3 separate regions of the Mus musculus genome follow, and all the other regions are reported to be linked to region 3. Evidence: microRNA targets listed by miRTarBase, many of them from high-throughput screens and not tested one by one. Region 3 holds a microRNA gene; each other region holds the end of a gene's coding sequence.

Region 1 (5,066 bases), not on the chromosome of region 3:
CCTTGGAAGCCGCACTGAGGGCAGCTGAGAAGAGCATTGGCACCGAGGAACGAGACGGGTGAGCAGGGTGGGTGGGGTAGGGGGCTGTGCCCAGGAGCACCGGAAGGAGCCACTGCATGCAACATCTTGGGCTACAGAGGCCTCAGTGGGTCCTAGGTTTTAGAGTGGCCTACAGAGATCACTGGTGACTGTCACTTTACAGGCACGCTGATTTGGGTAACTCCTTGTCCCCGAGCCTCTGAGCTCATCGATGGGAGGTTGTAAGCAGTAAGCCCTGAGGTACACAGTGTTTGGCTGCAGACCCACTGGCCCATCTCATCAAGGTTTTCCCTTGCTGTAGCCCCACAGGGACGTCTACCAAGCACATTCTGGATGACATTAGCACTATGTTCGATGCCCTGGCGGACCAGCTGGATGCTATGCTGGACTGAGCAAACCTTGGCCTGTGACTCTCCCACCTGCCAGTGTTCACCGCCCTCGGCCCAGCGTGGAAGAAGCCCGTGCCACACAGGGAACAGGCAGAGGTCTGGTTGGGCTGGAGAATCCTTCCGTAGCAGAGGCCTCCAATGGCTTCAAGCAGTGGCTGGCAGTCACAGACAGGCCGAGAGGACTTGTCAGAACCTGACTGAGGGGCCTCAGCTGTGTGGGAGCGAAGCTCTCCCCGTGAGCAGCTGACTGCACAGCTATGGCCCCTGAACAGGGACCCTCGTAGAACATTCTCCTCTAGGAGGAGGTGGTGACAGGGATTTGGGGATGCACCTCCTTGCCTTGTCTAAAGTCCCTGTGGTCTGGGAATTTGTCTGGCCACCACTGAGTCACCCTAGGGCTCTGTGAGGCTGCGTGGTTGGCCAGTCCCCTCCGTGCAAGTGTACATAGGAGCTGTAAATACACAGCAGGGGCATGCCTTCCTGCCGGTGGCCTTTTCTGCTCCTGCCTGGCCATCCCACACTGGGAGGCAGCGCTGGCTGGGATCGGGCAGTGAGGTAACAGATCCCCAGGGCCCAGACTCTTACAACTGTACATAATATTTTTCAAGCAGAGAGAAATGCATATATTTTAAATGGAATTTATTCTATCTATTAACTGCCTGAGAGGATGCAGTAGGGGAAGGCCTTCGGGCCACAGAAGAACCGTCTACCCACTTCCTGCTGGAGGACCCAGTTGGTCTAGCCTGGGCTCTGTAACTATTAACCTCTTTCCCCAACTAACATCAATGAAAGAGTCATTCCACATGACTGGGCTGTGTTTGCATCTGTGCAGCAAACCTCCAAGTCCGGGGGTATCCCTTCACCCCGTCCTGGGGGCCACTCATCAGTGTAGAGTGCCGAGAGCTGCAGCCCTGGGAGGGAGCCTTTCCTGGCTGTTTCATGGATCCACCACAGGATGTTTTTTAAGCAATTTACAATTTTAATATAAACCAGTTGACATTCACTCCCCCAAAGGCTCATTTTCCAGTAAGAAAAAAAAAAAAAAAAAAGTAAAAAATGTCTCCCAGAACAAGGGCAAGGGCCACATGGGCCTGGGCAGGGTCCTCTGTGGATGACTTGTGGTCAGCTGACATGGGGGCCCCAGGGTGAGGTGGACCTTTTCCATCTTCAAGCCCAGAGGAAGGGAAGGTCTTCGGACCACAGGCAGGCCCTTGCCGGGGAAGATGGGACATGGGCAGGAGGATACAGCATCTTGAACAGCAGTAGCCTCTGCTTTCCAACAGACACTGAGGCTGCCGTAGATGCAAGAGCAGAGGGTGCCGAGTGAGGGGGCCCCTAAGATGGGGAACACATGGGGGAGGGGCTGAGGATCCCTTTACCAAGGGCCTGAGGTCATACATTCAAGAGTGCCCCTGGCAAGGCCGGGGAAGAGCCGAAGCAGGCAGGCCGTGGCTACAACCCTGTGGCTTTTCGTGAAAAAGAAGCCCAAGCCAGGAAGACAATTGTCTCCAGTGCCCACGGCTGAGCCTCCAATGCCATGAGGCACAAAGACAAACCCTGAAACATTTGTGATACCAACTTCCTGGTAGGTCTGGCTCTGTCCCCAGGAAGCTGGGCAGCTATGGCCACCATGGCCAGTGGCTCAGAAGGGCGAGTTCATGCCCAGCTTGGTCTCAAACTGCAGCTTCTGGCGCTTCTGGTAGCGGACACGGACCCTGGTGAAATAGAATGAGATACAGTTGACAACTTGGCCTGGTGGCTCAGGCCTGTGATTCTAGCTACTTGAAGGCTGAGGCAGGAGGATTATAAGATCAGGACCTATCTCGGTTACTAAGTAAAGATTGCCAGGGCTATAGCCGGGGGTGGAGTGTATTACAGGAGCTGGCTCAATCCAGCACCAGGAAAACAAACAGGCTGGTGTAGACCTTCAAATCAGAGGACTGAGCAGGGTGCCGACATTGAGGTGACAGGTTCAGGGTACAGACAGAGCCCAGTGGAGCTACAAGCTCACCGAATCTCGTGTAACTTTACAATCTCGTTGGTGACTACCACTAGGACCAGGGACAGGCAGCCCAGGAGCCATGTGAGCAGGGGCACATCTTCTAGGCCAAAGTGGACACGTGAGTCCCTGTGTGTCCACAGCTGCAGGTCCACCACTGTCTGGACCACCTGACCGAGCAGCCTGTGGGAGGAGACAGCCCCGTGTGAGCCCAGAGACCTCGCTTTCTTCCCTCTTTCCAAGTCCGACTAGTTGAAGGTCCCCCCCACCCCCTGGTCTTCCCCCCACCTGTGACCCCAGCACTGTCCTGTAGCCCCCATTAAACACTACTCACACCACAGGCACAGTCACGGCCCACCAGAGGTTTGTCAAAGGGCTCTTTCTCCACAGAGGCTTGGTGCGGTGTACATGAGTGATGGAGATAAAGACTAGAAAGATGGGCGAATGGGGTGTCAGGGCTTCCCAAAGTCTTGCCTCCCACCCTGAGGCCTCCCCACTCGCAGCAGCCCCCATGAGGCAGAATCCTTACCAGTGTGCAAAACAATCAGGGCGGCTGTGAGCTTCTGAGCGGATAGCAACCCATTGGCAAAATCCTCGAACCAGGCCGGCGCTCTGTCATCATTGCTGCCAAAGGAAGGCAAAGGCTCGGCCTCCTGAGGGCCCACAGGGTGGGGTTGGGTGGGGTGGGGAGGACAGGACTCCTAAGACCCACCTGCAAAGCATGACTGAGGAGCAGTTGGTGAGGTTGCGGGCCCGGGCGCTGTCACAAAAGCTCTGCAGCGTGAAGCCGAAGCAGACGAGGCAGGAGCTGATGGTGAGGCTGAACTTGAGCAGGAAGCAGAGCAGGAAGTAGTGCTGGGTCTGTGGCATACGGGAGGATGGGGAGGACGGGGAAGATGGTCATTCCTGTGGGAGGGCGGCCTCTCTGCAGGCTATGAGGCAGGCCTGGCACCTGCTCAGCTTTTCTAAATGTTTAGCAAGCCCTCAGCAGGTAAGTGCCCACGCCCCGAGGGTCAAGGCCCAGGGACCACATGCCCAGCAGGACTCGTCCTTGGTGTTGGCCACCGCCTCTCAGATCGCTGACCTCCGCAGAACCTTCCAGGTTGGGCTACTCCCAGCCCCAATGCTCAGCCCCTCTGAGAAGCCCCGGTGAGCAGGGTCTGCCTGGCTTACCTTCTTAGGAATGGACTGAAGGTTTTTGCCCGTTGCCATAGACATGATGGAGCTATGTGGTGGTTTTCCCAATAGAGAGATGCTGAAATTAAGTGTGGGTAAAGGGACAGACGTTACTACCTGGCTCCCAGCTCTCAGAGGAACGCCTACAGGGACTCTTGGCAGTGAGATAAAGCCCAGTACTGAGGAGAGACAGACCAAGGGGCCCTTGCTTGCATCAGTGCCTCCTTGCGCCAGAGGTGAGCCCTGAGCCACCCAGCCAGGAACCCCTGGGCCCCCTGAGACGCCCACTGACAACCTAAGCTCACTAGCAGGGCACAGAGGGGCTTCCAGGCCTCTCACCTGAGCAGAGGGTAACAAAAGCAGGATAGCCATAAAATGTCTGTGGTACTCAGGAGCGGTGGCAGCTGCACCAGACAAGACAGGAACTGAAGCAGGAAAGAAAACATCACCAGATTTGTAGCCCCCAAGGCCACCCACCTTGCCCTGGCTCAGGAGACTCAACATCTTGACCCAGAGGACCAGGTACAAGAGAAAATGTTTACAGGTGGGATCATCTCAAAAGCCTAGGGGTACACAGAGGCTCGTGACTATCCTGCACCCCCAGACTCCTCAGACTCTTAACTGTCCCTTCCTTATGAAGAGGGCCAATGCCTGTACAGAGCCTGGCTTACCTGAATGACCACGAGGGTCAGCTGGCACTGCAACAGGAAGAGGAAGCACTTTCGGATGCCGTAGGTAGCGTGCCGAGCCTGAGGATCAAGGGGACAGGTTAGGATGTGGGCATGCTGCCCCTCTCAGGCCCTACAACAAACAAGCCTCAGTTAAGAGCCACGTGCCCATGATGCTCTTAAGAGGAAGGAGCAGAGACAGCCTCAAGTGCCTTGGGGAGATTCACTTGTCCCTCCCAGGCAGGCCACACAGGCAGGAAGCATGAGGTCTGGAGGGCCCAGAATTCTCATGTTCTGCCTTCAGGGCGGCCCCAGGACCTCCTGAGCCCCACCTGCTCAATGAGCCGGATGATGCTGATGCTTTCTTCTTGTCGGAAGGTCAGGGAGCAAGGCAGGCTGTTGAGCTGCCCTGATAGCTGCAGGGGAGAAAGGCCATCCGAGGCCTGGGCCATGGTGGTGCTGGTGGCATAGCCAAAGGTCTCCCAGGAGCAGCGGGATGGGTATAAGGGATCCAGGGCAATGCTGCTCAGTGGAGGGAAGATCCACCCATGAGCGATACTCTATAACTTGTCTACCACAAGATGGGAGCGTCCCTTTCCTCTTCCCCGGCAGACCCAGGGACCAGGGTCTGAGTCAAGGCAAGCCTCTAGCTACGTGCAGGCTGTCCACCCAGGGTCGGAGAAGCAGAGCTTGGCCCCCAGTCCCAGTGCCTCTCGCTGACCTGACATCACTCTGGAGGAAGAGGCAGCTGTTGCGCAGGTTGGCCGAGCTCCCCAGGCAGCAAGTCACCTCCCC
Region 2 (5,066 bases), not on the chromosome of region 3:
ACTGACATACTTCCTCCAATAAGGCCACACCTCCTAGTCCTTCCCAAACAGTTCAATCAACTGTGGAGCCAAGTATTCAAATATGGGCCTACAGGGCCATTCTCATTCAAACCACTACATTAGGCTTGGTGGCAAGCACAGTCACCTGTGGAGCCATCTTCCTGGCCCTATTTCTTTTTAAAAAGCAGTAATTTTCATTACAAAATGAAACTATAATCAAAAATTAAGGTTTACTTTTCCTTTAATTTTAGTTTTCGGTTTTTCTTTTCTTGTCTTTTTTTCTCTCTCCTTCCTTATTCCCTCCCTCCCTCCCTTCCACCCTCCCTCCTTCCTTCCTTCTTTCCTTTCTCTCTTTTTGGAGACTGAGTCTCATTCTTGCCTTGAATTCTGGATCTTCTTGCCTCCGTCTCCAAAGTGCTATGATTAGAGACGTGCACCAGTGCACACTTGGCTGAAAACTTAATGGCCTAATACCCATCTCACAACAGTTTTCCTCTTCAGCTAGTACCAATAAATGAGGCCTTTTCAACTTTGCTCTTTCCCAGCAAGGGGGTTAAGTGACATACTGGAAGCAGATGAATGCATATTTTAAAATGCATTTGCTTCATTTTTCTTTATTAAGCGTTTATTATATATCTGGCACTGCTGTGAAGTGAATTACCTCAATCCTAATAACAGGGTAGTATTAAGTCCCTACTACACAGAGAATTAAAATGGCAAGAGCCAAAATACCTGGCTTCAATTCTGTCTCCATCCTGTATCCGGAAAACAGATGGCAAGTTATCTGTATCTCAGATACATTCTGGGAAAATGTCCCAGAGAGGCCCCAAGTGGGATGAACTACCTCAGGCTCTGAAGGGGAGAGGAATGGTCACTACCTCCTCTGGCTTTGTCTGGGTCTCTTTGGGCTTCATTTCTTGGTAAAGAAAAGGAGTAGAAACCTGGTCTGCTGACTGCCTCAGTTTACCATGAGACCCATTGATAGTGACTGTAGCAAACCACCCTCGCCTGAAGCAGGGATGGATGGCTAAGCTGAGATCTCCCCCTGCTGCCACTGCTGTGCCTGAGCTTGGCCAGCTGCTACACTTGTTTCCTTCTTGCTTCTTCTAATACTTTTATAATAGAGCCTCCCAATTGAGGGTTCCTACAGGCTTAGCAACTACTGTTATTAAGCAATTTATGTGGAAAAACTGAGTGAGTTCTGAAACAAGTTGGAGGCATGTTACTACTATCTTTCTACAGAGGGTTATTGTTGTTCAACCAGGGGTCGTTCCAAGCTCCTTCACTGTTCCCTCTGAGGAAGTGGCAACATGCAAGCTGGATAACTTGGCCAAACCCATAGAGCTGGTAAGCTACCTGGCACCCCTATCGATTCACCTCTATGTCCCCAATGGCCACACGGAGATCTCCAGGCCCAGAAAGACTGCCACTGGGAATGATGGATAGGTAACTGAGTCCTCTAAACCTTGCAATAGTCCAGCCTCAGCGGCTAAAGAGCTAGAATTACCCGCATGCATTTCCCAGTTTGTGGGGGACAGGTATGTGAAGAGATGCATTTGCTGCTGGGGCCTGAACCCAGGCAGAGCCTTGTGCATGCTGGGTAAGTACTCTACCACTCAGCCTGTAACGCTAGTACTTAGCGGTTAGGCTACTTTGAGGTTTAGCGCGTATCCCCAAAGGCCTTGGGCTGTGCGGGTTAGCTCAGTGGTGACGCTTTTACCTAGCACATTAAGTCACCTCCTGTGGGTTTTAGAGAGTGAAGATCAAATCCCCACAGGTGAGTAACTTGGAGTTCATTTTGAAGACCATCTATCTATATATAGCCTAATGGAATTGTTTACATTTTTTAAAGATTTATTTATTTTTATTTATATGAGTACACTGCCTCTGTCCTTAGACACACCAGAAAAGGGCATCGGATCCCATTACAGATAGCTGTGAGCCACCATGTGGTTGCTGGGAATTGAACTCAGGACCTTTGGCAGAGTAGTCAGTGCTCTTAACTGCTGAGCCATCTTTCCAGCCCCCTAAAGGAATTGTTAAACATTGACTATTTTTAGCTATTTACTGTCTGAATAACCTTGAAAACATTTTATTGTAATTAACTAAATGAGAATCTAATATGACCGTGCGTTTGACTATCTGACCATGAACTTACATTACTTAATTCTAAACAGTTTGTAATAGCAGCTATCGAAAGGCCTGGGTCTGAGCCTTGTATTCCCCAATGAGTTGTATAGGCACAACTTCTATCTAAGAGTAGCACAACTAATTTTAAATTTTGTATCAATATACAAAGATTATGGCTATAAGATGCTTTAGGAATAAATGTAATAATCTATCCCTGTTTGTCTAATTTCTTATAATATTACTCTATTCCCATTTTCTCTTTTTAACCCCCTTCCCTTTACCTAAGAAAGAAGGACAGAGGAGAGGAAAGAAAGACAGAAATCCTTGAGTCTGAGCTCTCTATTTAGTTTCCTCCCTGGCCAAAACTATAATTATTTGTGAATTATCCCTTAAAATGACAACATATCTATAATTCATAAAGTGACTGAACCCATCCACCCCAACCTCGGAGACCGAGATGATGGTCTTTCTCTATTTGCTTCCTGTTGACTTGGGGCGACCCGCCAGGTCAGGTCTGCAGTGAGTCTGAGGAGGAGCATTCGGGAGGGAGTCAGTTAGGACTTATTTCCTAGTTCTGCTGCTTTTATGAGACTGTGGGTAATTTTCTTAACCTTTTAGGACCCGCTGCTTAAGTTAGCCGGGGACACTAAGGGTGCCAATCCAAGAGAATTAGCCACAAAGAAAGACTCTGGAGTCCACATGGTAAATTCTGTTTCCAGGGCATCTGTGGTGAACACAAACATGAGTCTAGTGCAGCAGGCATCCTGCGATTGCTGTTTCTACGGAAAGCAAGCCTCACAGGATGCAAAGGAAAGGTTATCTGTCAGGGATAACTAAGGATCTTCCTGGGAGGGTGGAGATGCAGCTCAGACGGTAAAGATTCATGAAGCCCCCGGTTTGGTCTCCAAGACTGCATTTGATCCTCGAGACTGCATAACTGTGCATGGTGTGGTACTGACCTGGAATGCTAGCACGGGGGAAGGGCAAGTGGATCAAGAGTTCGGGGACATCCTCAGGCACAAAGGAAGCCGAAGTCCAGCCTGGGCTCCCGCAGGTCACGTTTCAAAACAATGAAATAAAACCTAAGCCGTAGGTACCTAAAATGAGGTTATTTCTCAACCCCTTATCCCTGTAATGGAGGATCAGGGAGTTTTTGGTGGCAGGGAGGACAGGTGAGAAAATGAGACTAGAATTCCTACTCTCTGTCACTTTGACCCAGAGACTGAAAGGACAGAGAGGAGAGGCCCTGAAGATACAACTTCCCAAAGCTGTGTCCTCACCCCAGATTAGCTTTCTGATCATATCTGTATCAAAAAGGCACTAATGTGAAATCCAGAAAAACAAGAGCAAGAGTCCACACACATGTAAACAGCGTACTTAATAAGCATTTAACTTCTAGAAAGCCTGTGTGATTGGACTCCTAATTGTGTCTATGCTTACATAAAAAGGTGTATGGAATTCCAATTTAACTTAGATGTGGAGACCTCCACCCTCCACCCCCAAACAGGGTTTCTCTGTATAACTTTGGCTGCCCTTGAACTCGACACTCAAACTTGGGCACAGGCCATCAGATCTGTTGTCTTTCCACAATGACTGTACATACCAGGGAGCCTCATGGTGAGAGAGTAGCAGACTCAAGTCATGCTTGCATGTGCTTCTGCAGAAGCCATAAACATGGAGAATGTTTATAGACCCAACTTGAGTTAAAGTTCAATGTGCATATGCATGTATGTAGATACATACATACACATGCATAGATATACACACTTACATATATACATATATACATCTGCATTCATGTAAAGAAATAAAAACAAGATTTATTTCATTTCATCTTCCAGTGAGATTTCAGGAAAGAAGGAGAAAGGGAATATAGGAATATACTTATTCCGAGAACCCAGAAAATTCTCAAGATTTTTAAGTCTAGCTGCTGACGTAAGTGTACTTCCCACCTGGACTGACGTCACTGTCACTAGTGGGTTTTCTTCTCCACGTTCCGGATTTCCTTCTTCGTCTTCACCTTATAGCCTTCTCCCTGCTGGAGGAGAGCACATGTTACGTGTTTGCAGTGGAAGAGTTTGAAAGCAGTTTCCCACACTGATTCCTGGAGGCTGGATTAGGAAGGAGAAATGGGTGAGAGCACCAGGCCGTGTCGCATCCTCAGACACAGATGACCTTGGCTTTGACTGCACAGAGCAGCTCCCCAACATGCCACAGCATGCGTCAGCACTTTCAAGGTAATGACAGCATAACGAGACTTCATAACAACACGGAGGGTTAATGGTTTCAAAGAGCAGTCAGCCTGTTTCCTAACATAAGGTGGAAGAAATTGCTAAACATACCCACAAAGCACCTGAACCCCAACCGTTAACGATCCCCATTGGTTGTAGCTGATGAGATTTGTAGGTCAGCGGAGCCATAACTAGTCTGTGGTAGTGTGACTTGGACTTCCCAAATAAGCACGAAGCTAGGACAAAGTGCCCTGGGTGGTCCGACAGCTTCTCTGTAATTAGTTTATAGAATTACCATCTCTTCTCCATCCTGGTCCAAGACAGCACCAACTTCTACAGATTGGAGCTGTCTTTCCTGAATACCAGGTCCACACTTCTCTGACATCAAGGCACTTCACATTTAGTTTTTACTCTAACAGAAGACTCAGTGTTCTTTTCTCTATTCTCACCTGGTCCTCAGAAGTTTTCAGTTTGCTTTTAAAAAAAAAAAAAAAATATATATATATATATATAAACATAGTATTTAATAATTTACTTTCTACCCATTAAATAGGATAAAGATTTGGGAAACAGCAAAGAATAATAGCAAGATATCTTCTATGGCAGAAAAGAGTTTGTTGGGTGAACTACGTTCAGAGTTGAGTTAGGTTTCATGTTAGTGCACTGGTCTTGGGGCGGCGCAAACCACGACACGACAGTGGAGTT
Region 3 (5,072 bases):
CCTTCCCTGTGATACCTGCTGCTAGTGTTTTCTACATGCAGCTGGGATTCAGAAAGAATTTAAAGATGGAAGGCTCTCTTGTTTGCCTGTGTGTATTTATAGCTAAGTATTTCTTAACAATGGGGATTTCTGAGAAATATGGTTGTTAAGTTATTTTTGTCGTTGTATGAATATTATGGAGTTGCCTAGTTACTGTTCTATTGCTGAGAAGAGACACCATAACCAAGGCAACTTATAAAGGAAACAATTTAATTGGGGGCTTATTAAAATTTCAGTGTGAGTCTATGACCATCATGGTAGGGAACATGGCAGCAAGCAGGCAGGCATGATGCTGGGGCAAGAGCTGGGAGCTCATATCTTATTGCAAGTTAGAGGCAGAGGCAGGGGAGATATTGATGGAGAGAGAGAGAGAGAGAGAGAGAGAGAGAGAGAGAGAGAGAGAGAGAGAGAGAGAGAAGAGAGAAAGAGAACATGAACACAAACAAGCTTGGGCCTGGCTTGGGGTTTTTGAAAGCTTAATGTCTACCTCTAGTGAGCTGACTCCTCGAACAAGGCCACACCACACCTTCTAATCCTTCCCAAAACAGCTTTACCTACTAGGGACCAAGCACTCCAGTATATGAACCTGTGAGGGCAATTTTTATTAAACCACCATGGGAGTGTATAGTTAAACTAATAAGGATTACTAGGTGATGAAATGTTATGTGACTACTATTGTATATGTAGTTTGTGGCTTACCAAACACCATGTAGTATGTGACTATAGTTCTGATTGTATGATAGTGTGCTGATATGTGGAGCCAGTGGTAAGTTGGGCAGTCCAGTCTTTGTAGCATGTGCATACAGGAGGATGAAAATCATTCTCACTGTGTACGATCACATATACATGCCTGAGAAGCTGCAGGATGCACTTCCTTACTTTAGCCTCCACTTTCTAAGTGTCAAACCTGATTCATCACGTTCTCAGCACACATAGGCAACCTTCAAATGCAGAGGCCCACTGACAGCTTAGCAGGAACAGAGTCCTGCTCCCCTAACCTTGTTCTCTTACACCTCTAAGGAAGGGTAGTGGGCTCTCTTGGTTTTCATCTTTGACGGAGCTGTTATAGGAAGGTATACTTGTTTGTTAACACTGACATTTTTGTAAACACATACCTAGACAGTCATAGATATGCTTTTGCATCAGCTGGGTAGATAGGAGAACAAATATGAATGAAGCCCATCTATAGCTAGGTGTACATCATATATAGGCCCGTGAGCATAGAAGGTTTCTTTTGTTTGATACACTTGTTTTCTCATAGAGAAAAATGCCTTACTGTCATTCATTTATATTCGCTCTCCCCCCTTCTCTACTTCTCCCCTCTCTCCTTACTCCTGACTCTCTTCACTCTCTGTGACATATAGTAGGAAAGTGAAAGATTGAAACTTGTGATTTTGTCTTTCATATCCCTCACAGAAAGGGGTGTGAACTTCGTTGATTTAGGCACATTGAAGAAGAATTACCAGAGAGCCAGTCCTTGCATTGCCTTTTACAGATTCTCCGAGTCACTGATATTCATGCCTCCTTCACCTGGCTTTTGCATATATGAGTATGACCATACTATTGTAAACAGGACATTCATTTAGACACATGTGTACAAAAATGGTAGTGTAAGAGGTAAAAATAATAGCCAGGGGCCAGGTCCTGCATCCTACTCTAGGCTTGCATCTTACCTAATTTTTTTGGTACTCTTTAAAGAGATAGCATTTGTTATTCTCATTTTTTAGAAGTAGTCCATGACCTTGGAGAAAGCAGGTAGATTCTTTAATCCAGTACATGGTGAAGTATAGGTTTGAAACAGGGTTTGTAGATACCAAACTCCACAGTTTCTCTGTCTTATCCATGATGCTGGTAAGGTCCCCAGCATCACCCAGCCCCTTTTAGAAATACAAAATCTTGAGCTCACTAATGAGAAACCTCTGTAAGTTATCTTAGTACCAAGTCCTCCAGGTATCTGAAGTAACTTTAACAAGATGCTGATGTGTGTTAAAGGATGCCAATCTCTACTGCCATCTTGTGAGCTTATGGCCTCTTCTCTCTGTCTCTCTGTCTTTTTTTCTTTCAGTATTTTGTATCTCTGGCTTTATATTTTTATAATCTCAGAACAAAATATGAATGTATATATTTAGACAGGTTTCTCTGTCTCTGTCTGTCTGTCTGTCTGTCTGTCTCTCTGTCTCTGTCTCTCTTTGTCTCTGTGTCTGTCTGTCACTCTGTCTCTCTCTCTCTCTCTCTCTCTCTCTCTCTTTCTGTGTATGTGTGTGGAGGGTGCAGAGGTCAACCTGAGGTGCTTCCCCTTTGGGGACATCTACCCTGTTTTTTGAAACAGTCTCTAATAGGGACTTGGCACTCACCAGTTAGGCCAAGGGATCTAGCTTTCTTTGAGTCCTCACGCTTGGCTCTTTTATGTGGAGGCTGGGAGTTGAACTCAGGTGCCTAGACATACTTAATGTGAAGCTCAAGAACATTGTCTTCTTTCTCATCACAGATAAGCACCTTGTGTCAAAGGTGAGCCCATGCGTTCATTTGCTGTGAGCCTTTTGCCCTGCTTCAGTTCTCTGATCCTTGCTACCTGGGTGAGAGTGTTCTTCAGCAAGGATTCTGAGAGCCAGACCTTTGTGTTTGTAAAGGACAGAGCGCATCTCTCGTTCTCTTTTAGTGTGTTGCACACAAGCATATTGACCACACACAGGAAGGGCAGGTTCCTGAGCCTTCTTGCTTGCTCCCCCTCTCGAATCCTTGGAACCTAGGTGTGAATGCTGCTTCAGTGCAACACACCTGTTCAAGGATTCAAAGAGGCTGAGCCTTGTCTGCGTGTAGAATGGCCCATACTTGCACATCTCACCTGCCACCTTCCCTCCTCCTGGCCACCATTTGATTTTGGTTTTAGCTGTCAGACTTGGTTCTACACATTTTCTAACAGCAAAATGGTCTTTATCATGTTTGGTAGACATGCTTCTATTCTCAGCATGAGCTTTCTTGATTCCCAGTTTGCTAAGTGTCAGATCATGTGATGAGGAGCACACATTAGGTGCTGCTACTCAGGCAACCCGTTTGTTACATCCAGTGATAACCCCTGTTCCACAAAGCTTGAATTGTATAAAGGCATTGGAAAGGAATGGAGTATCCTCCTCCACTGTGCCCTCTTTCAGTATGTATATGCATTCTCAGATCCCAGCCTTCTTGCTACCTTCCAAACATAAATCAGGCCCCCACAAATTCTCAAGTATGATCTGGGAGAGATACCATTTTGTATACGTAGAAGTTTTCTCTGAGAGAGGATGCTCATGGTGGGAAGGGGGCAGATACATATATAAATCAGGGATGTCAAGCTTGGGTATAGGTGGTGATGCTTGGCTGAATCAGGACAAGGAAAATTAAATATTATATACAGAACCACACAAACATGGTACAGGTGCCTGGGCCTTCTGCTCTGCTCATCCTCTCTAATCCTTTGTCCCTGGGTGAAAATGCTATTTGTATGCAATGCACCCGGGCAAGGATTTGGGGAAGGTGAGCCTGATCTGCATGGAGAAGGACAGGAGGTCTGTGCATCATATCTCATCTGTTTGCTGCTTGCATACTTCTTTTATGCCTCCCCCCACCTTCTTTCCTTCTACAAATACAACGGGCATGGTGCATGGGAGAGTAAATGTGACAAATTTGGCCTCTTCCCACCTAGATTTTATAGGTAGAACTTTATTTCCACTTATGACCCTAACAGGTATCAAGAACAAGTGGGGCACATAGTAAACTGTGTATTGACATAAGTGCGCAGCTTTTCATTCTAGTTCTCATACCGACACCTGGAAGAGAAATTCTTCTTTAGTTCAACTCTTGGAGGAATGCACAGGGCAAGAACAGTAAGCCTTCTTGTTGAACCCACATGCCAAGGGCATAGGTGCAGGCTGTGCCTTTCTAGTACTTGCTACTTGGATGAGTGTGCTTTGCGAATGCAATATACCTGGGCAAGGGTTCAGACATTGAGTTATCTTCATGTAGGACCTTTACGCCTCCTTCCACTGTTTCCTGTCTATTTATTCAGTATGGCAGGTACTCAACTAGGGATTTGGTCCACAGGAGTATGAACCACATGTGGTTCAGGGAGCAAATGGTCCAGGGAGAGTGAGCTGTGTCACATCCATTATGCCTGCATGAGTGGACTGTAGACTGGGACTTCATGTACACTGTCCACTTGGATTCTTCCATATTTTAACACAGTCCCATATAAATGCAGTGTATACAGAGGAGAGGATTCACAGACTTGTGCCCACAGAGAGGATTATCTGACCTGATTCATCAGGAACATTAATCCTCAGCACAAGTGCTGTTTTCAATAGTAAGTCCTGTCCAAGGAATCCAAAGGGTGGCACTTCGCCTGCACTTTAAAGGACAGAGCCCCTATATGTCCACACCCCTGTTCCTTTTCCTTCCTTTCACAAATATTCAGGTATGCACTATTTGATACAGCTCTGTTAGTCATAGAGGATGTAGCAGGAAACAAAATGAACAGAGGTGCTACTCTCTTAGGAGACTAATAAACACACTAAGATCCTTGACTATTATAGACTCACCAACTGCTGTTCAAAAGAATGACCTAGGTCTATTGTTCCTTGTTTTCTATTCTGTATGAATGACTCAGTGCAGGGTCTGATAGATGAGATTTCTCAAACTATTCCCCCTCCCATGGCCCTAGATATGCCTAAACACATGGGCCTACGTGGAGAGGAGTCACTCGCTCACAGGAAGAGTGGATATGGAGCCTATTGTGTTGTTCCCTCTCCTCATCCCTTCAGCCCGAAGACCAGTAGACTAAGTGACTTCTTGTCAACTACCATCACTACTCCCATTTGAAGACAGGAGCTTACTGTCTTACTGTGTAGCTCTGTCCCTCAAGCTGATTCTCCTATACCCACCTCCATAGGTCATACTTTTCTACACACATTTGCAAGCTGGCCTGGGCAACATGTGATCCCAAAAGAAAAGTGAATCTCTTTCATGTTAAAAATAGTAGTCTTTATATCATGTATATT

The links. The annotated mature microRNA mmu-miR-362-5p reads AAUCCUUGGAACCUAGGUGUGAAU and lies in region 3 at 2,774-2,797, shown strand. An mRNA with a match to its seed (bases 2 to 7 or 8) in the 3' UTR can be bound and repressed. Matches are read on the target gene's strand: a 7mer-m8 pairs with bases 2 to 8, a 7mer-A1 pairs with bases 2 to 7 and ends in A, and an 8mer does both.
Region 1: the mRNA of Caskin2 is a reported target of mmu-miR-362-5p. The part of its 3' UTR that is shown has no 7-base or 8-base seed match.
Region 2: the mRNA of Ank3 is a reported target of mmu-miR-362-5p. The part of its 3' UTR that is shown has no 7-base or 8-base seed match.

Annotation. Positions count from the first base shown.
Region 1 is chr11:115,795,352-115,800,417 of GRCm38, reverse strand. Caskin2 (CASK-interacting protein 2) reads left to right here. Exons shown (of 20, transcript NM_080643.2): 19 at 1-58; 20 at 341-1,066. The coding sequence ends at 431. It overlaps Tmem94 (transmembrane protein 94), which reads right to left. Exons shown (of 32, transcript NM_028014.3): 23 at 4,993-5,066; 24 at 4,604-4,793; 25 at 4,275-4,352; 26 at 3,943-4,028; 27 at 3,601-3,682; 28 at 3,140-3,288; 29 at 2,957-3,051; 30 at 2,762-2,855; 31 at 2,440-2,610; 32 at 1,385-2,143. The coding sequence ends at 2,071. It overlaps Mir5621 (microRNA 5621), which reads right to left and starts at 4,594; the gene lies at 4,532-4,594.
Region 2 is chr10:70,014,670-70,019,735 of GRCm38, reverse strand. Ank3 (ankyrin 3, epithelial) reads right to left here. Exons shown (of 43, transcript NM_146005.3): 42 at 4,083-4,168. The coding sequence ends at 4,103. Among named protein-coding and RNA genes, the nearest start is that of Ccdc6, 80 kb to the left of the region's middle.
Region 3 is chrX:7,239,744-7,244,815 of GRCm38, reverse strand. It overlaps Mir362 (microRNA 362), which reads left to right and starts at 2,770; the gene lies at 2,770-2,834. All of the region lies in intron 2 of Clcn5 (chloride channel, voltage-sensitive 5), which reads left to right. It overlaps Mir501 (microRNA 501), which reads left to right and starts at 3,465; the gene lies at 3,465-3,573.